Rhinolophus ferrumequinum: one gene and its partner. The protein of the gene in region 2 interacts with the protein of the main gene of each other region in a pairwise test. Links are inferred from orthologs where the notes say so. Each region holds a gene or a part of one and is shown on either strand. Other genes may lie near its edges.

Region 1 (10,230 bases), on a different chromosome or scaffold from region 2:
AAGAAGGCCTCGGCTGGAAAACCCGCAGAGACTAAGAAAGACATAGCGGCTGGGCTGAGGGGTAGGGTGGAGGTTGGGCCGCCAGGGTCCTGCCAGGCACCCACCCCGAGTTATTATCTCATAAATTATTTCAAAGCCTAGCAAGGTTGGTACCACCCCCTCCACCCCCCACTTCCCCCACCCCCGTCCATGAGTTAGTTTGTTGATGCGAACCAGGTTGGAAAACCTGCTCTCTGGCCACCTAGGAATTCCTCTGTACCCCCATCCCCCACCCCAGGAGATTCAGAAGAAGGGGCTAAGTTGACCCAAGGCAGGGTTTGCTGTAGACTGAGCGGCGGTAGTGAATGTGGGAAACCAACAGAGCTGAGGGTCCGAGGAGCTCTGGACCCCAAACTCTTGTTTGACTCCAGACCAGGAACTTGGCCCCTGGGCCGGGGTGCCCATGTCTGTCTGCAAAGGATGTGTGAAGTGGCGAAGGGATAACTGACTGACTGACTGACTGAATGAATGAATGAATGAATGAAATGCGGCTGTGATTTGCCAACGGTATGGCACCACTCAGGTGCCCCATGCAAGCTGAAGTCTTACAGGATCCCTCCATCTGAGCACCCACTCAGCCCCACCACATACCAGCCGCCACGGAGGGCAACTATTCCGCTCTAGCCTTTGGGGGTTCACGCACTTCCAGGCCCAGGATGGTCAGCCCCGAGAACCGTCTACATTACAAGTCTGGAGAGCTCTCAGGATCCGCTCCCGGCCGCCATTCCACTGTTACCAAAGTTTTGGGGTCACACCCTAAGATTCCGAACCGGGAAGCTCCCCGCGGGACCCGGAGCCTCTCTGCCCAGCAACAGTGATTCGGCCCAATGACCACACACACGCACGGGTCTCGCCTCAAAAGGCTTCTTTATTGACTCGCACAGACCTAAGCCAGAGGGCACGGGATTCAGCGGTACTTCTCCGTCAGCACCACCGCCACGCCGGTCAGGAACTTATCCCAGGCCGCTTGCATCTCCACCGTGTACTCGCCCTGCAGGTGGGAGGCCAGCACCACCTGGAAACACTGGATCAGCAGCTGCGGGAGAAGGGGCGGGGGAAAGGGTGTCTGCTCTCTCCGGTCCCTCCCGGAACTCCACCCACAAGCCCCTCCTCCCCACGGCTGCACGCGCAAACCCTCCAGGGGCCGGGGCTGCCTCACTGGGAAGTTGGAGGGGTCCACGCGGAGCACGTGCGCGTGCAGGTCTGCGAGCGGGCTCAGCGCCCAGCGCAGGTTGTCCATGTGCAGCACAGCCACGCCCACCGCCTCCAGCAGGCGTTTTCCGTGGCTCAGTAGGTGCACCTCGTCAGGGAAGACGCCCAGGTGCTTGAAGTAGGTCTTGGTGCTGGGGTACACGGTGAAGAGCCTGCGGGAGCAGGTCAGTGGGAGGGCGGGCGCGTGGGGTCTCTCCAGCGCCTGCAATCGCCCTGACCCCTGGACACCCGGGTCTAGCCTGCCCCCTGGGGACGCAGGCCCAATACCCCCGTCTTCGCCTCCCTGCGATGCTGGAGACCCCGCCCGACCCACCTGAGCAGCAGCTCCGCCCCGAAGGGCGCCTCGTGTCCCGCGATCAGGTCCCAGACCTGCGCGACCTGGGCGCGCTCCTGAGCATTGAGCATGGCGCTGGCGTGGCGTGCTCTGGGGGCCGCGCCCGCGGACCCCGCCTCCTTATAGCGGCACCCCCAGCCGGGCGCCCCGCCCGCTCTTATCTGCAGCAGCGTGGCGGGAACTCGGGGACCCTCGGCCGGCACGGGGAAACGTCGCCAGCCTAGGTCCCCACCGCCGCGGAGACCACCGCCTTAGGGATCCCGGTGTTAATGGCACAGACTCACGCCGCTGGGCGTGGGTGCCTTTGCTGCGGACTCTAGGAGAATCTGTAATGACTTCCCCGCGGGCAAAGTTACTGCTTCGCTCGCCAATAGGGAACCGATGTAAAGACCGGGAGAAAGAGCCCGGCCAAGGAACGCCCTTATCCCCCGAGGGGCCAGGAGGGAAACTGTATCAGGTGTCCTTGCAGCGCGGGAGCTCTGACTTCAGGCTTTGAAGAAAAGTCCCCTGAGTCCCCACACGCAGCCAACACGCTGAGTGAAGCGACAGTCTTTGGGCGATTTCGAGAGGCCCAAACGCACCCAGAGAAAACGGCGTGGGTGACTGAGGCTGTTCTGCTTTTTCCGGTTGCGACTCTGAGGTCCGCAGGTGCAAGGACCGCCCCAAAGCACCCGGGGAGTGTCCTGCAGGCCTGGTGTGACCCCGGGGTCTCCTCTATTGTATCCCTCCCTCTGTTCCCTCCTTCCCCCCAATATTGAGGACGCAGGACTCAGCTCATTCCATCCTCATCCATTTATTGGGGAGTACCGGGAGGATCTGTGAGAGTATTTAAGGGTAGAGGGGAGGTCGAAGCCGGGCCTCCGGGGTCCGGTGACAGCTCAGCGGTACTTCTCGGTCAGTACGTTGGACACGACGGACAGGAACTTGTCCCAAGCGGCGTGGGCATCGGCCGTGAACTCGGCGGGGAAGTGCAAGGCCACCGTGACCAGCAGACAGTGGGACAGGAGCTGGGGGGCGGGGGAGAGGCGGCTCAGCGCGCAGGGCTGGGGTGCTGTCTCGGTGGGGGCGGAGTCCCTCTAGGTGAGACACAGCCCCTCTCGCACCACCCGGGCCCCGCCTCTATTCCGACCCAGCCAGGACCCCCTCCCTCTCTCCCACCTTGAAGTTGACCGGGTCCACGCGCAGGATGTAGGCGTGCAGCTCGCTCAGCTTGGACAGGGCGCCCGCGATGTTATCGATGCTCTTGACCGCGTCGCCCACGGCGGCCACCACCTTGGAGCCATGCGCGCGCAGCTGCGCGGAGCCGGGGTTCAGGTCGAAGTGCGGGAAATAGGTCTTGGTCTGGGGGTAGCTGGCAAAGAGCCTGCGGGCGGGGGGCGGGGCGTGAGCTCCGGAGGAGGGCTGCCTGGCTACCTCCCCACCATCCAGCCCGCCCTGCTCCCAACTCGAGGATCCACATTCCACCTCGCCAACGGCCCTGCACGCTGGGCAGCTCCCCCTTCGCTCTCAGCCTGGTGCCTCACACCCAAGCGCATCTAGAGGCCCCCCACGTCACTCCCACCACCCAACCACCCCCCACCCGGCCCTATTCCAGGCCGCTGCAAACTCCGGGCTTGTCTCTTTGCTTCCAACGGGGTCAGCACGACCAGCTCTCCAAATCCCCCCAGCCTTGGCCTCTAGCCCCTTTCACCTCCTTCCGCCACAGGAGCCTCCTTACCAGCCCTTGACCAGGCTTCCAGCTCCACCTTCCGCCAGAAATAATGCCCTCCCTAGCAGCATCCCAGGGAGGTCTCTTCAGGGAAAACCTCTTTCCACTGTGGTTTCCCCAGAGTCAGAGACCCTGGTATCTGTGCTGCTAGCAACCTAACTGCCTCAGAAGGCGCTTTAGGCCTCGGAAGAAACTGTCCGGGGCCTTCAGGTGGGAACCTGGGCCTGGCCTGCTCACACCTCAGTGAACCCAGGGTCAGTCAGAAGTCTGCACAATTCATCTTCCCCGGCTCACTGTCCCCTGTCCGCAACACCCTCACACTGTAACTACCTGGCACCGTCCCATCCCATGTGGCACTCACCTCTCCAGGGCCTCGGTGCCGATGGCGTCCGCCTGTGTGGAGATCTTGTTCCACATGGATGTGATGATGGTCCTTTCAGCCTTGGTCAGAGACATGGTGGAGGTCGAGCTGGAGCGGGGTGAGCCCGGGACTGGCCTCGGTGGTGCTCAGCTAGCTCCCGCGTCCCCTTATATGCATGGAGCCTCGGTGTCATCCGTGGTGGGCATTGGTCAGGAGAGGGTAGGGGGCTGTGGAGGGTGGGGTCTCTTATCAGATCCAGGGACTGGGGGCAGTCAGAGCCTGCAGGGACAGGTGGGGTGAGGGGCTATCACTCCTGCCACCCTTGTTAGGCCTTAGACAGGGCGTTGGCTGCAGCCTGACCAGAATCCTACAGAGATAGGGGCCCAGCCAGCCCAGGAGGTCAGCCCTACACCATCTTTGTCCATTTCAGAATCACAGAATGAGGGAAGCCAGAAGAGCAGGGCCCAAGACGCACGCTCCCCGGGCTGGAACATGCCCCGAGCTGCCTGCACCGCTCTTCCCCCTTTGGTGGGATCCCGTGGCTAGCCCGCACTGGCCACATGTCAGGGCTCCCCCCCCCCCCAATGGCTCTATGATTCCTGGGTTTCCTCTGAGAAAACAAATGTTTTGCCCACCTGGTGCTGAGCACAGATGTACTAACTGGATCTGTCCCCTGAGAAGCTAGGTCAATAAAAGAATTCTAATATCACGTGCTATTAGGGATTGCAATATTGCTCACCATATCATCATTTTAACATAATGAGGGAAATATTCCTTTTAATTTTATTTTAACATGCAATGAAATTGACTTTCTTTGAGTGTACTTCTCTGTGAATTTTGATATGTGTATAGAGTCATGTAACCTCCACTAAAATCAGGATACGCAGTAGCTCCCTCACCCCCAAAAGTTCCCACCTGCCACCCTTTTGCATTTCACTCGGGATATAACTTCTTTGTCAGTTTGACGTGTCATATTGCCCCCAAGTGTGTAGTTTGCCTCCATTCTTTTAATGATGTTTTTGGTTGAACAGACATTTATAATTAATTTTTTTTTTTAAATTGGGGAATATTGGGCAACAGTGTGTTTTTTCAGGACCCATCAGCTCCAAGTCAAGTTATTGTTTTCGATCTAGTTGTAGAGGGCGCAGCTCACTGGCCCATGTGGGAATCGAACCAGCGGCCTTGGTGTTATGAGCACCACGCTCTAACCACTGTGCCAACCGGCTGCCCAGACATTTATAATTTTAGTGCAGTAAAAGTTAGTGATTTTTTTTTGTCCTGTTTAACAATGTTGCATTGTTCTATTCACAATCACCAGAAGGTGGAAACAACCCAAATGTCCATCAGTGGATGAATGGGTAAACAAAATGTGGTGTGTATCCATACAACGAGATATTCTTTAGCCATGAAAATGAAGCAGTTACACACTGCAACATGGATGAAACTTGCAAACGTTATACTATGTCAACAAAGCCAGACACAAAATACCACCTGTTGTATGAGTCCCTTTATATGAAATGTCCAGAATAGGTGAATCCATAGAGACAGAAAGTGGATGAATGAGTACCAGGGGATGAGCCAGCTACTGCATAATGGATACTAGATTTCCTTTTGGGATGATGAAAATATTCTGGAAACTAGATAGTGATGATGGCTGTACCATCTTGTGAACACACAAAATGCTACTAAATTGTTCCCTTTCAAATGGTTAATTTTGGTGCTCGCTTCGGCAGCACGTATACTAAAATTGGAACGATACAGAGAAGATTATCATGGCCCCTGAAAAAGGATGACATACAAATTCGTGAAGCGTTTCGTATTTTGGGGATCACTTCATAAATTATACAAATGTCTAACCGGTAACAAATGTAACTAAGCGGTACACCTGAAACTAATATAAAATAATACTGAATGTCAACTATAGTAAAAAAAAAAATAGTCACGAGGATGAGTAGTGCCACATGGGGAATATAGTCGAAAATGTTCTAATAACTATGTACAGTGTCGGGTGGGTACTAGATTTATTGGAGATATCACTTTGTGAGTTGTGTAAATGTCTGATCACTATGTTCTTCTGTACACCTGAAACTAATTTAAAAAATAATAATTAAGTACTTAAGAAGAGAAAAAAATGGTTCATTTTGTGTCATGCAAATTTTACCTCAAGTTTTTAAAAAGTGAAATAAGCATTGTGCCACATGCTGAGGCGTAGAGAACTGTCTGTATTATCGTTCTAAGAACTTGACTTTGGTGTTTTGAGTGGGGCAACAGCCCCCTGTGGACTGATTTTTGGTGGTTGTGAGGTGAGGCCCGCCGTCTGGTTTTAGCTGACATTTATCTAGTGCCTTCTAAGCCCCAGGCACAGTACCAAATACTCTTCATGTTGGGCGTTTGACTCTCATAGCTCTCTGGGAGAGATTTTTTTATGTCATTGTCATTACATGTTTTAAGATATGGAAATGGAGGCTCAGGAAGGTTAATGAAATACTGGAGGTGCCCCAAAAATGTATACGCATGACTGCTATTCATCTGTTATCGTTATATATTGAGTATTGCAGTTTTAATAGTTTTTTCCTTTCTTCAAATGTGTATATATGTGTTTGGCACCCTCTGTATGTTTGATATTTCAGTGGAGGTGGGAACCATTCTCAGGGGAACGGGAGATCTAGGTTTGGTACAAGCCAGGCTGCTGGCTCTTTGGGGGTCGCGCAATCTCTTCTGTCGCTGGGCCTTGGTTCCCTGTGACATGAGGACACCAAGCCTGTGCTTCTGGACACTGAGACCCGCTGGTCTCTGGGAAGAATTTGAAGCCCCAGGCTTGTTCTGAACTTGTGTAGCAAAAGCTGAGCTGGGGGGCCCTGCGTCACTCAGTGCAGATAGGGTTCTGCAGACCCTCCCCTGAGAGCAGCCCCTGGGTGACCCCAGGCAGGCTAATCACCATCGTGAGCCCCAGTTTCACTGTTTCAACCTCTCGGGTGGGAGTTAAACAGCCTCCACCCCACTATTAACAGGCATAATGGCAGCATGAGTTCAAGATTATCGTAGTTTCTATTGTGGGTGAGTTATTCCTCTTGGGCGGAAACACTGCACCAGAGAAGGTGGAGGTGTGGAGGTGGGTCCCAGATAGGGTCTTTGAGTCCCCCCAGCCCCCTGACAGACAGGGTGGCTCTATCGGGCCCCGACTGAGTGGCAGGACAGATAAGACCTGGCCATCCAAGTGGCCTCCTGGCCCTGCCTGGGGGGGACCCAGGATGGGAGGAAGGGTCAGGAGTTTCGGATCTTAAGAATCCTCTTACCTTCTGAAAAGTAGGTTGCACAAGAGTTATTTAAATGTAGAATGAGGACGTAGAGGTGGGGGCTGTTTTCAGGGAAGACCGTGAAGTGAGCAAGCTTGACTCTGTTCACATCCCTGTCCAGGACACAGCACTGCACTTAGAGACCACCTTCTCCCACTCCTGTTACTGGTGGGAACTGGAGGTGCAAAGCATGGCCTGCCTACCCTGGTCCCTCTGGCTGCCGGCACCAGGCTGGATTGGCCAGGGAGTGACAAAAAGCTCTGACGTCCGTTTCAGCGCAATGAGATTGACAAACGTGGACCCTCACTGCTACTGGTGAGGGTGGGATTCAGACCTCTGCTCGCTCCAGTCTAACCCGGGACATTCTTGCACCCGAGTCCTCTGAAGGCAGCCTGGGGAGGGATGTATCCGGGACCTCTGTGGGCCAGGATCCCACACGTCACCTCCCGTCACCTTTTATGGATTACAGTGCATGCATGATACAATGAAAAGATATTAACCATAGCCTGAAAATAAACAGTAAATGCTCTTATGAAGCTTGCTAGCAGGAAGAGGACACTGAGGGGGTAATTGGGGAGTGGTGGGTTCCTCTAAGTCTATGCCTTCCCCCAGCCCAGAGACAGCCACCCCCAGAGCCTCTGGACACTACACCTGCTCCTTCAGGTTCAAGGGCCATGGGACTATCGGATGGGGTAGCAGCATGGCCCAGGGAAGTGGGAGCCAGAGTCCTGGTCCTTATGTCTGGGCACCCACAGATTCCTGGTACCCCTGTGGGGAGGGCCCTGTTACCATAGCTGGCCATCTCCCCAGACAGCGGGCTCCCCTTTCCCCATCTGCCCAGCTCTCCCAGCCCCACCTCCTTCTTCTGTGTCCTTATTTCCATTCCTGGGACATCCTGGGAACTGTGGGATACCTCAGAAACCTTTGGTTATACATAATATCAAAACATAGCAGACTGGGAAAAAAGGCTTGCAGAATCTGCAACCGAGGGTAACTACCCCTCACAAAGAGAATGTGTCCAAACCATCAAAGAAGGACAAACAACCCACGAGGAAAACAAGACGGCAATTCTCAGACACTGGCAAATAATCAAGCGATACAGTTCTCTACCTCAGGAATAATAAAAGAAATACAACATAGGCTAAGACACCATTTTCTTTTCTGGGAATTTTGTAAAAAAAAAAAAACAAGACAAGTCAATGCTATGCAGCCCCGTGTAGGGCAATACGTTTGTTTGGGAACGTCTGAGGCATTTGAAATGCATGTACTCCACCCTGGCAGGTTTAGCCCACAAATCTGTGTCAGCTTCAGTAAAAGAAGGTTACTTCAGCAAAGAAAATGGTTATCCCTTAGTTAAGCGGTTATGTTCTCATGCATGTGAGGTGTTTGAGAAAGAGTTGGAAACAGCCACAATAGACTGTTAACTATAGTCACCTCCTAGGGAAGACTAGAATCGAGTGGGTGGGGGGATTTTTCTGACTTTTAAAAACAGCTGTATTGAGACATCATTCACATACCATAAAATTCACCATTTAAAGCGTGCAATTCAGTGGGTTTTAGTATAATTAGTATAGAGTTATGCAACCATCACTACAATCAAATTTAGAATATTATTCACCCCAAAACAAACTCATTAGCAGTCACACCGCCCCAACTATCCCAGCCCTGGACAAACTAATCTGTTTTCTGTCTCTATGGATTTGCCTAGTCTGGACATTTATAACATGGAATCATACACTACGTATGCTTTCAAAGTTCATTCATTGGATCAGTACTTCATTACATTTTACGACTGAACTCTTCCATTGTATGGATTATACCATATTTTATTCATCTACTTACCGGTTGATGGGCAACTGGCTTGTTTGTACTTTTTGCCTCTTATGAATAATGTTGTTATGAACATGCAAGTTTTTGTGTAGACTTATGTTTTCATTTTTCTTGGTTATATACTTAGGAAAGGAATAGTTGGGTTGAATGGGAACTCTATATTTAACCTTTTGAGGAACTGCCAGACTGTTTTCCACAGTACCTGTACCATTTTACATTCCCTCCAGCAGTGTGTAAAGATTCCAGTTTCTCCACCCCATCTCCGACATTTGTTGCTTTTTTTTTTTTGAATTGTTATAAGAGTTTATTTAAGCTGAATTGATGACATATATTGGGGAGCAAGATCTCAAGTGCTATTTGTTGTCTTTTTGATTATAGCTCTCCGAGTGTGTATGATGTGCTCTCTCTCTCTGTTTTTCATTTGCATTATGCTAATGATAATGATATAGAACATCTTTTCATGTGCTTATTGACCATTTGTTTATATTCTTTGGAGAAACATCAATTCACTTCATATGCATATTTTCCAATTGGCTGTCTTTTTATTGCTGTGGGGACAGAGTCCCAGAGAGCAGTTTCCAGGCTCTCGGCCTCACGTGGAAAGGTGCTGACTCGGGTAATGGATGGCCATCAGCTGTGACTGGTTGGCCATCAGCTGTAACCAGTGAGCCACTTGCCGCTGATACAACTTCCGTGGCTGTGATGGTTGGTTGGCAGGCAGAGAAGCAGACGGTGGATTGTGGATGGTGTGGATCCTACTTCGTGTGTTGCCCACCAGGCTGCAGCGAGACTATAGTGGTCTGACTCCCCTGTCTATGGCTCCGTGGGTGTTCCTTTTTGGCCTCACCATGTCCTGCGTCCTTATGTGGGGAGCGGGACCAGAGACCCTGCACGACACCCCGCATGACAATTGCTGACGTGTAAGAGTTTTTAAAAAATATGTCTGGATACAATTCCTTCATCAGATATAGGAATTGTAAATATTTTCTCCTGTTCTGTGGGTGTTCTTTTTCCTTTCTTGGTGGTGTCCTTTGAAGCACAAACATTTAATTTGATAAAATCAATTAATTTTTTTCTTTAGTCGCTTGTGCATTTGGTATTATATCTAAGTAATCATTATCCACTCCAAGGTCATGAATGTTTACCACTATTTTTATTAATAGTAGTAGTAAGAGTTTTATAGTGTTTTATGATTCATGGATTACTTTCAAATTTTATTTTAGTACTTTATAGTTTAAACTTCCTCCCCCAAAAAAGTGTTACTTTTAGAATGAAGAAAGCAACATTTAGAGACAGGTGTCTTGAACCTCAGGGTGAAACCAACCTTAGTTTCCCATTCACGCTGGGAACGCTGTTTGTTCCTTTCTCCCCCAGTGACAACCGGGCGGTCCCACGTGTACTAGGCAGTAACTTCCTGGCGAGGGCCCTGCGCCTGCGCACGCGGCCTCCC
Region 2 (10,941 bases):
TCCTTCAATGTATTTAGTCACTTTAATTTTTTTCAGTAATATTTCATAGTTTTAAGTGTGTAAGCCTTTCATCTTCTTGGTTAAATTTATTCCTGTGTATTTTATTCTCTTGTATGCTAACAAAATGGAATGTTTTTCTTAACGTCCTTTTGAGATTATTCATTTCTTGTGTATAAAAACATTTCTTGTGTTCTGATCTTAAAATTGCAAATTTGTTGAATTTTTTATTACTTCTGTTAGGTTGATGCAAAAGTCATTGCCGTTTTTGCAATTATTTTTAACATTTTAAATCGCAATTACTTTTTTTTAAATTTTTTTTATTTTATTTTTTTAATTTATTGGGGTGACAATTGTTAGTAAAATTACATAGATTTCAGGTGTACAATTCTGTATCACATCATCTATAAATTACATTGTGTGTTCACCACCCAGAGTCAGTTCTCCTTCCATCACCATATATTTGATCCCCCTTACCCTCATCTCCCACCCCCCAACCCCCTTACCCTCTGGTAACCACTAAATTATGTTCCCCAGATTAATTTTCAAAACCCCATGACTATCTTGTCGTTACTGATTGTTTATAATCCCCTCACCTTCCCCCTTACCCCCACCCCCACCGCCCATCTAGCAACCCTCAGTTTTTCCTCTTTGCACCAATTTAATAGTAGTTTGCTATGTATTATTTGGGATTTTCTACATGTGGGGTCATGTATCCATGAATAAATATACATTTAACTTCTTCCTTTCAAATTTGAATGTCCTTTATTGTTATTCTTGCCTAATTGCTCTGACTAGAGCTTCCAATATTAAGTTGAATAGAAGTGGTGAAAGCCAACAGACTTGTCTTCTTCCTGATCTTAGTGGGTGTTTAATCTTTCGCCCTTCATTATGATATTAGCTTTTGTTTTTTCATACCTTTTATCTTTTATCATATTCGTAAAGTTCTTTCTATTCCTAGTTTTCTGAGTGTTTTTATGATGGGGGGGTGACTGTTCCCAAAGTTTTGCCATAGTAAGATGGCAACATGTACTGCTCCTAAACATGTGCCACAACTTGTACCATACAACGTTTGTCACCATGTTCCATTACTTCCATTTTCCCCTTAGTTTTTGAACCAGGCAACTAAATGCATTTAGGAGCATGCAGAACACATTATGATATAAAGAAGCATGCACTTTGTCTACGGTGTCCAATAAACTGGATAAAAGTACTTAGAAGACACAGGGTAAAAACAGAAATACAGGGATGTTATGAAATGGTCAAAATCTACAATTATACACAGGATGCATGAACACTAAACAGTTTCTTCTCATTTTCCTTCCATACCATTAAAATAGAGCTACAGTTAATACTAGTATCTATTCAAAATAAATTTTTTTATTCCTATAGTTCATTTAAAAAAATTCTCTAAAAATGGCTAATTCTGTAGTAAATTGCTGAAAATTTTATTTTTAAAGGAAATAAGTAAACCAACATAATTATTTGTATTATATGTTTGTTTAGGGAAAAAGAGAGATAAGTAGGTAATATATTTGCTTTTTCAGTGAGATTTTTAAAGTTATTAAGAACATATTTGGTAATTAGTGGCCAAATTTGTGATTTCAATGCATGCTATAATATAGGTCTCATAATAAAAGTATGGGCTTATGCTCTCCATCGCTAACTAGTAAACCAAGGTTTGGATAAAATATTTTGAGGTTATTTTAGGTAATATCTAGATTTTTTAAAGTTTTAAAAAAATTTTAAAGCAGTTATAGATTTATGGAAAAGGTGTGAAAAGAAGATAGGATAATCTAAAACTCCCTTCATCTAATTTATACAAATGTTAATATTTCACCATATTTGCTGTATCATCTTTTTCTGTTTCTATGTCTCTTTCTTTCTCTTCCTCTGTATATAAATATATTTTTTCTTAATTATTTGAGAGTAAGTTGCAGACATGATATCCCTTTCCCCCTTAAATACTTAATTTTGTATTTTTAAAAACATAGACACTCATTTATATAATCACAATACAGTTAGCAAAATCAGTGAACTAAAACTATAGACCTTATCACATTTTTCCAATTATCCCATTACTGTCCTTTATAGTATGTAGAAACAAATAAAATAAAAACAAAATCTGGCCCAGGATTTAATCTAGGATTATACTTTATGTTCAGTTTTCATGTATTGAGATAATATTCATGGTATTTATTAGCTCTTTCCTGGTTGGTCGTGGTAATCTATCACCCAATATCTTACAAAATGTCTATATCTCTGATTTTTTTATTTTGTTCTCTCTTCACTGTTGGGCTGATAAAATCTTGTCTCTGGAACTGTGTTTTCTAATTTCATTACCATTCTCTTCAAATGGCTTGTACTTACTTTGTAATAACTGTTTTATACAGTAGGATTTCACAGTGATTGTTTCCTGCACGGCAATATCATTTAATGTGAAAGATCAGAATAATAAAAAAAATTATAGCAAGTATCTGCAGTATTTTAAAGCCTTTTATGTGATGGTGGTCTCTTAAAACACTATTCCAATATTAACGGTTCTTTCCATGAATGTTTAAAAACTAATACAACTGAAATTCAATCCACTCTTTCTTCCCTTGTTTTAGTCATGATATAAAACGACTGCTTATACATCTGCCTCTGTGGCAAAAGTTTTCGTGTCCTTGAAGATTGTTTTTATTACATCATTCCTTAGCCTTCATCTATTTATTTTATACTGAATACAACAGAGCTCAGGTCTTCATTTGCTGTGCATGAAAACATTATATTTTACTGATGTGATTTTTCACCTTAATATATTGATCTCCAGTAATAATCAATATGTGAGCTACAATTCAACAATTCAAGGATTTAATTTGAAGAAGACAGTCAATAACTTTCACCTTGAAACAATCACTTCATTCGCCTTTTCTGTAATGCAGTAACTGTTCCTCAGCGGCTATCAACGTCAACCAAAATGTGTTAGTGCAGTGATTGTCCATAGAGATGTATAACAAGATGAACTTTGTCAGTTTTCCAAACAGAGATAATTTCCACATCAGAAATGGTTTATTTGAGTTGTTAGGCCACTTTAGAATAGGAACAGCTTTTTTCTTGGCCTTCCTGTCTTATATTTGTGAAGATTCAGAATAGCAATATTCCAAACAAAATACTAGTAGGCTTTCAACCAATATCAGTCCTTTCTCTCTCTTCTGCTCTCCTTGAATTATACATTTGTGTCTGTTAAAATTCAATATGATAATTAAAAAAACTTTTCCAATCAGAAAACTTTCATATGTATATATGAAAAAAGTTCTATACATATATATGTGTGTGTGTATAAATACCAGCTTTGAGTAGTGAATATTCATTTTGTGCTGTAGCGTATTAGCATATAGCATAAATTTTGGCTCTGAACTCATTACCTATGAGAGATTTCTCACTGCATGTGCTACTGTTGCTATTGGTTGTTGGCACAGCCAAGTCCTAATTCTCTTCTTTTCTACTTGCAACCCTAAAATATATCATAAAAGTTATAAAAGAAGCTGGAGCAATTTCACTTGTTCAGTTAGTGAAACTAAAATAAATCGAAACATTAAAAAACACCTATGTAATGGACTCTGTCAGACTCTTTAGTAGATGAAAATGAGTCATTCAATATTTTAGTCCTTCATTATACTCTGTCCCAGGCACCAGGATATTAGAAAGCTTAGTGTAAATGATCTGGCTGTTACAATTTTATTAACCCTTGGTTCTTATTTGAGTGGCTTCTAATGAATTCTTGGAGTAAGTAGTCAGACTAGTGACATATCCCTAAAGTTGATGAGAACTCTGAAATAAAAACTGTGTGTTTTATGTAATATTATAGGTTGGGTATTTTTTTTTGTTAGTGTGCAATGATAAGCCTGATTAAATGCCCTTTATCCTGGCCTTTCTTATAAAGGTTTGTAAAAGCATTGAATACAAAGTTTGTGCATTAATTATAGGACATAGTCTATAATGCATGCCTTGTTGACCCTTCAGAACCAAGTTTGGTTGGAGCAAAATGTTCCATAATATCCCATTGTTGAAATAATAGTGCAGTAAATGGAATACCATTAAAAAACAAAAACAAAAACAAAAAAAAAACACCTTTCAGGACTAGAACTCATGTTTAAAATGAGATAAATCTTTACCTAAGATATACAAATCAATTCAGTGGTCAATATGGTTAAGTTATTTACACCATTAGAAAAAGAGGTGGGCTTACCAGTAGTTATAATTTATTCATGTTTAGACATATGATACTATCTATTCAACAATTATCTATAGAAGGCTCTCAATTTATTTACATTTATGTTTATAAAATGTTTGTATTAATAAAGTTGTGCTGAGGATATCCACTGTGTAATTGTGGTAACTGTAAAATATTCATATGTGAAACGAGCAGAGAACATATGGTGAGATAGAGTCAGCTATTGAAAATATAGGGATCTGATGTAGGATAAATGTATGTGTAGGGCACCTTTATTCAGTCATATTCTGTTTGGAAATGCATTTCCCCTTTTAAAGTGAAATTTAGATGTTTGCTGAGAGTTTACCTGAGAAAATAAAATTATAAATATTTTTTGGTAATAATTAGGAATATAAAAGTTAGCTAGCTAGTTTACCATATTTATAATGACATGAATATCTACAGACATTGTATAATAAAGTCAACCCTTGGACTACTTTCCATGGTATCTTCTTTCTGCACCTTTAATCATGGAAAAGAGGACTATGAATAGATAATGTAATTGCTGTTGCCGGACGTAACAAGAATTACTGCATGTTTTTGATTCATGAAACTGGGTTTGTGCATGGCCCCATAAGCACTACATGCTTTTAATCTTTTGGTATGATGCAAAGCAAAATGTGATTACAATTACTGCACAATAAATTTTCTAATTTATACTCATTCCAAAGTGTTTACAATTTATTAGTTGTGTTTGGCATCTTACCCACCCTCCACTACAGTAGCTTCTGGCCACCTCTCTGAAGATTGGCAGCATTTCTACTGTCAAAAAATAAAATTATCAATTAGTCATAGTTCTCACAGTTTATTTCATGAACTTTTAACCACCCGATCATATTTGTTAGCCATGTACTCCCTCATCATTGGCCCTGTGGTAGCATACACTCAGCTTCCAGGTAGGATGAACAATTTCTGGTGCCGAAAGAAGTCATGTTTGTTACTTCTGGATTACTGACTTGTCTGTCTGTGCCTTAGTTGCCACATTTATAAAACAGAAAGTAATACTTGAACCATGTTTCACAGAGTGCTTTTTTGAGGACAAATTGAGATCATGGATGTGAAGTCACATAAAAAATGTAAAACATAAGTAAAAAATAATCTCCCAACCTTATCCTGAAAAATAAATAAGGAAAAGATTTGACTACATTAAGAACTTGGAAAAGTTTCAGCATGCTTTTTTGTAGGAAAGTTAGCCCCCATTCTTTCACACCAAAATGGTGGGGGGAGAGGCGAATTGAATAAAATGATTGTTTATGAAAAGAGACAATAGTTTTGTAACATTGAAGCATGCAAGCTGCATTATCAGATCCCATTGTTAAGAGAAGGATGGGAACTGCCTCGAGTGTTGATACCTGCAGCATTTGACTCTCCTTAAATAAAAGTGAGAGAGATACAAACTAGCTCAGCAACGGCACTTGGTGAAAGGCTATCACATCTAAAATACGGAGAAAGGGGGAAATTTGAGCAACTGGGGTTACCTGTTTAACTAGTCTCTTCCTTTTACCACATGTCTCCCTAATTCCTTCACTAATTGTGGCTAATTGTGTTGCTTTTCAGTTGTAGAATTCAGCCCTCTCCCGGAACCCCTCCCATAGATAGGGATGGATTGGAGAGGAGGGATGGATGGGAGAAAAACCAGAATCAAGTCAATACCCCAGTGATCGTACGCTGGAAGCGTATTGCTACAACAATATCGCCCCAGACCCGCTTTATTTGTTTATCAATGAACATCCTACAGCGTCCCCGAGATGTAGGTCAGGCTCTTAGAAAACACAAGCCGCCGATCAAACGCAGTCTTCATTATGTTTCCAGACTGGGTGCGCTGCCGATTCCTGCACAGTGGAGTGCGTCTGAGCCGCATGAGGGAGAGGAGACACCTGTGCCTTAGGGACTCAGGTGAAGTCCTATCTACCTTCCTGAGACTTTCCCTGGTGCTTTCCCTCCCCTCAGCCTTGCACTCCTCATCCCCATTTCCCCTGACGTCTTGGACCCGAGCTTCTCTGCTTAACGGGTGCTTTTCCCGCTCTCTACCCCCTCTGCACCTCTGCTGAAGACACAGAGGGCTCCACACAACTGGGCATGCCTAATAACCAGCGAAGGCTTGGTCTGCAAGAAGAAAGCGTTTGCACCTTCTGCGCCCCCCTCCCATCTACAGCTGCCTCCTGCCAGTCAGGCGATCCGACGTGCGGCTCTGCCCAATGAGAGCCCTCGGCCTTCGCGGGGGCCCCGCCTCTCATAGCACCACCACCAATGAGTGGTTGGCAGAGGTGGGACGCGTCCTGTTCCCGCCTCTCCAGTTAAGGCCGCTTGTGTGAGCCGGGACTGCGCGATCCAGGGACGACGGTAGGGACGGGCAGGTGTGGGCGCTGGGCCGTGCAGCCCGACGGCTGGAGTTGCAGGTGCTCTGTGCATGGGCCAGTGAGGACGCGCGGAGATCCCCTCTCCCCGGCAGAGGCAGAGCAGCGCGGGAGCCAGGCGCTGCCCGGCGACCCTGCGTCTGAGCGAGCGGAACCTTGCGCTTCGCCCGGGGACTGTCCGAAGTCCGCGCTATGGAAGAGGAGAAATATTTGCCTGAGCTGATGGCAGAGAAAGATAGCCTGGATCCATCTTTTGTGCATGCATCACGCCTTTTGGCGGAAGGTAGGACTTGCCTCTATAGATGTGCACAAACCGCCGGCCGCCCATAGCACCCGCGGCTTGGTTAAGGGGAGTGAAGTTGGGGAGGGACGACTGTCTCCTTCGCAGAAACTGTGCCCCTGAAGATGCTCGCGGACTGAGCATCGGAGCTCGGGAGGACAGAACCTATTCTTGGGGCGGGCAACAATGCTCCTTTTAATTTGGGGAAAGATCAAAGCTAGGAGATCTAATGACAGTGGTGATGTGACCTTTTAGAATCATTGATAGAGACACCATAAAGTGTAACGCGGTTCACAGGGATATTTTCACTTCGCAGAGGAAAGGGTAATCAGTTTAGAAGTAAATGATCACCAATGTAGTATTCTAAGAGCTTCTTAGTTACACATCAGCATTTTTTTTTCTGCATTTGGGAAGTGATTCTGTTACCCTTTAGTCTAATTACAGTCTTTCCTATGGAAAGGCTTAGAATTAAACTATTCATGTTCGTCTATGTTTGTGAATGTGGCAGAGGCTAAAGTGCTTATCAATTTATTTGAAGTGCGATGATTGGGTTACTCTGCGAGTTGCTGGTCCCTGGGAACACTCCACAATTGATCAACTGTTTTACCAAGTGTGCATTTTCTTTTGTGTACCTGTAGTGTTAATGGAGATTTCATCCCCAGAGAAACATATGTCTTGTTTTTTTGCATGGCTTTGAAAGGTTGTTTAAACACACACACACACATACACACACACACACACACACACACACACAAACTTCTGTATGACAGAAACATTAGCCAAATCGCATCATTTATCTTGAAATATCGCCTTCGGACTGCTAAAGATTTTCATGATATCTGTAGTAACTAACATACACATACCTTAAAAAAAAAAAAACTCCAGGCTTTTTTTTTTTATTAATCCTTCATTATTAATGAATCGTTTCATCATCAATTTGACTACAATGCAGTTTTGTAGCTTAGGTTGCTATGGGCTTAACCTATAGCAAAACTAAAAGTGACCAACTTCCTCTTCCTCAGCCCTTCAGCATTAAAATAAATGTTTTCTTTTTTGAGACTTATGTAGTTGTACATGGAAGGAAAAATTCTGACCCTCCATGTATGATTCAAATAGGCATTCTGTCTATTTCAAGATTATATTGATAGATTATTATTTATAACAATAATAATGTGTAGGTGTTTTTCCTTTTTTCATAGTAAACAATTAAAGAATTTATAAACAAAATATTGAATGTGTGAAACAAGTAAACTATTTTTCAAGAAACAAGTTGGTTTTGTAGAGTATTTGGGAAGATAAAATGTAATTATGCTTACTACTTTTTTGGTTACTGAATTAAAGCAAATAAAGTAGAAAAGTGAAGTCAATTAAAAAATTAAACTCTCCCTCTATTAAAAAATTAGATAATTACATCAATACATAGGAAAATTAATGAGTTAATAAATGCTTAGGATTGTTCAAAACGATTAAAAATGCAAGTAGGCCTTCTCAAATTGCTTAGTTCAATATATTTTCCAGAAGTATCTTCATTTAGCTATTAATATCTTTAAAATGAAAACAGTATACTACAAATTGATGATTTTCTGTAACCTGCTCATTGGAGTTCTCTTTGGGGCAGCAGGCTCAGTGATTAATTCATCTTTCACTAATGAGAGTGTATTTTTTAAAACGGCCAAGCTAAAGAAATGAATGTGAGAAAGTCTTAATGGAGTGCAAAGTATTTCTGCGACTGGTGAAACAGTCAGAGAAGGCTGTGCACCTGGTTCTTTAAGCATTTTATCTTTCCTAGGAACTTGATTTCTTGATACTTAAGAACATGTTCAGATGTACCTTGTAATTTAATTTTTTCCCAGTAGGGGGAAGCATGTCCTACTTTTGTAAAGCCTTAGGAGGAAAAGCTCATAAATAGAGAGAAAATAATCTAAGTAAGAAACAAAGAGAGGTGTCTAAATTTCAGAGAAATCATAATGAGGATAAGAGAATGGAGGAGGTGATGATAAAAATCTTGAAGGGTATAAAGAGACGCAAACAGATGCATAAAGTTTAAATTCGTTCTCTCATTACCTGAGGCTTTTTATGTGTGCTTATTAAGGAGGGTAAGGTGAGTATCCTTTGGACTCTTTAATAAATCTTAATGTACATTTTACATTATAGATCTTTCATTACCTTTTCAAAGGCCATTTGTTAAGATTTCCAGGTTTTGGTTCACATCTGTATGAGAGAGTATTGTTGAGATGATTTTCCTTCTCATACCTGGAAATGCACTGATTGAAGGCAGTGGCTATAAATAAACCTGACATAGATATTCATTTGGAAGGAAGGTGCACACTGAAGTACATTTCAGTCAGTACTGTGCAGACAGTCTCAAGACTGAGTGAGTAATAAAAATGATCCAGATGATTCAGTTCTTCGGAATGATTTTTCCGGAAGCTTATATATATACCGGAGTGCCAAAAAATGTATACACATGACTTGTATTCATCTTTTATTATCGGTATATATTAAGTATTATACTTTTAATACAGTTTTTTCCTTTCTTAAAATGTGTATACATTTTTTTGGCACCCTATATATTTGTGTGTGTATTTGGCACACTATATATATTTGCATATATATATATATATATATATATATATGCAGTGATATAAACCAATAAGCTTTCACAATGATTTGTTTTGCTTTTGTGATTGATGATAGATGCAAATTAGTGCTCTATTGTTACTATTATGTTTAGAATTGGAGGCCATGTTTAAAAGAACTATTTTGTTGGTAATTTTGCTATTTGTGTGTGTGTGTGTGTGTGGTTTGTTTTATTTCAGTTGTTGCTGCTGTGTGTTTTCAGTAGGAATGATTCTGAGAAAGCTAATGAAAGAGCCCAAACATTTTATGAATTCGATTGCTATTTAGAAAAGATCTTGAATAGTATGGTTGAAGAGTGTTTATAATATGTTTGATTAAATTAAATAATTTTCCTTCTATGATTATCATATTTAATTATCCATTTGTTATGGAAGGTGTTTTTACATATGATGAAACAGCAAACTCAGCATTATCTTTCAAGTTCCACTCAGCCTCTGAATTTGCTTGCCAGATGAAATTAGATAAGGTTATTTATATCTATGCTACTTCTGGTAAGTGCACTAAACTGTGAATCCAGATACCTGGATTTTAATTCCACTTTTGCCCCATGTGAATCTTGATAAGCTTTCCTTCCATGGACCTAGATTCCTTGTCTCACAAGTTAAGGAGTTGGACTAGATGATCTATATGTTTCTCCATAATTCTAATTAAGTCTGGGACTAATGCTGATGCAAAGGAGTTGTATTTGTGTATTCAGAAGACCAAAATCAATGGCTGAAACTTTTTTTATTCTTTCTTAGTTTAATGATTAATAATACATATATTGTACTATAATGTAATTTGATGCATATACATTATTTTGGGTACTGAGGACAGATTTATGTTCTTAAATCGATAGAACTATTATCTTCATAATAATTTGGGGCTACAAATGTATATATATATATATATGGAAATATTATTGTTTGCTGTCAAGCATGCCTGTCCGCTGACAGACATAGATCTGTTCAAATTTATAGATTCAAATATGGTGATTCCATACCTTTAGGAGGATTAATAAATTTTTGTCCAATTGAGAGTATTCCAGGTGCTCTGATTGGCAAGACTTGGTAACCTGAATTCTTCACAAATTTTGGTAGATTCATCATTGTTTTGTTTGCATCATCATATGATGAAGCGAAATATTGCCAAATATCTCAACAGTGGAAATATTTATTTTTAGAAAGTCTAGGTGCTACTTTCAAATTTTGGTGAAAAGCTTGGCAGTCCATCTAGGATTGGCCTGCTTGTATGCAGATATAGATGAACTTTTGATACCACAAGAGAAACAGGGATTAACATTTATCACAAATACTGATTTCTAGTGACTTAACTATATTTAGATTCTCAGTAAGGATCATTTTTTTTTTTAATTTAGATTGTGTTCCTTAAAATATTTTCCATAAAGCTTAGTAAAGATATTGGTATAATAC

What was found.
Region 1: the proteins of KHDRBS2 (region 2) and HBZ interact in binary tests that used the Homo sapiens proteins (3 or more experiments, as listed by UniProt). The two-hybrid records come from large-scale screens. The link is inferred for Rhinolophus ferrumequinum from reciprocal best matches to the Homo sapiens genes KHDRBS2 and HBZ.

What each region holds. Positions count from the first base shown.
Region 1 is NW_022680357.1:2,217,200-2,227,429, reverse strand, and holds HBZ (hemoglobin subunit zeta), read right to left. Parts: upstream 3,801-10,230; 5' UTR 3,750-3,800; coding exon 3,655-3,749; intron 3,589-3,654; exon of another isoform or gene 3,365-3,588; coding exon of another isoform or gene 3,303-3,364; intron 2,949-3,302; coding exon 2,744-2,948; intron 2,593-2,743; coding exon 2,464-2,592; 3' UTR 2,363-2,463; downstream 1-2,362. Other genes in the region: HBM (hemoglobin subunit mu), read right to left, coding at 947-1,075, 1,199-1,403, 1,565-1,656. UniProt on the Homo sapiens protein: The zeta chain is an alpha-type chain of mammalian embryonic hemoglobin.
Region 2 is NC_046286.1:26,296,126-26,307,066, reverse strand, and holds the start of KHDRBS2 (KH domain-containing, RNA-binding, signal transduction-associated protein 2), read left to right. Parts: upstream 1-6,526; 5' UTR 6,527-6,801; coding exon 6,802-6,892; intron 6,893-10,941. UniProt on the Homo sapiens protein: RNA-binding protein that plays a role in the regulation of alternative splicing and influences mRNA splice site selection and exon inclusion. Binds both poly(A) and poly(U) homopolymers. Phosphorylation by PTK6 inhibits its RNA-binding ability.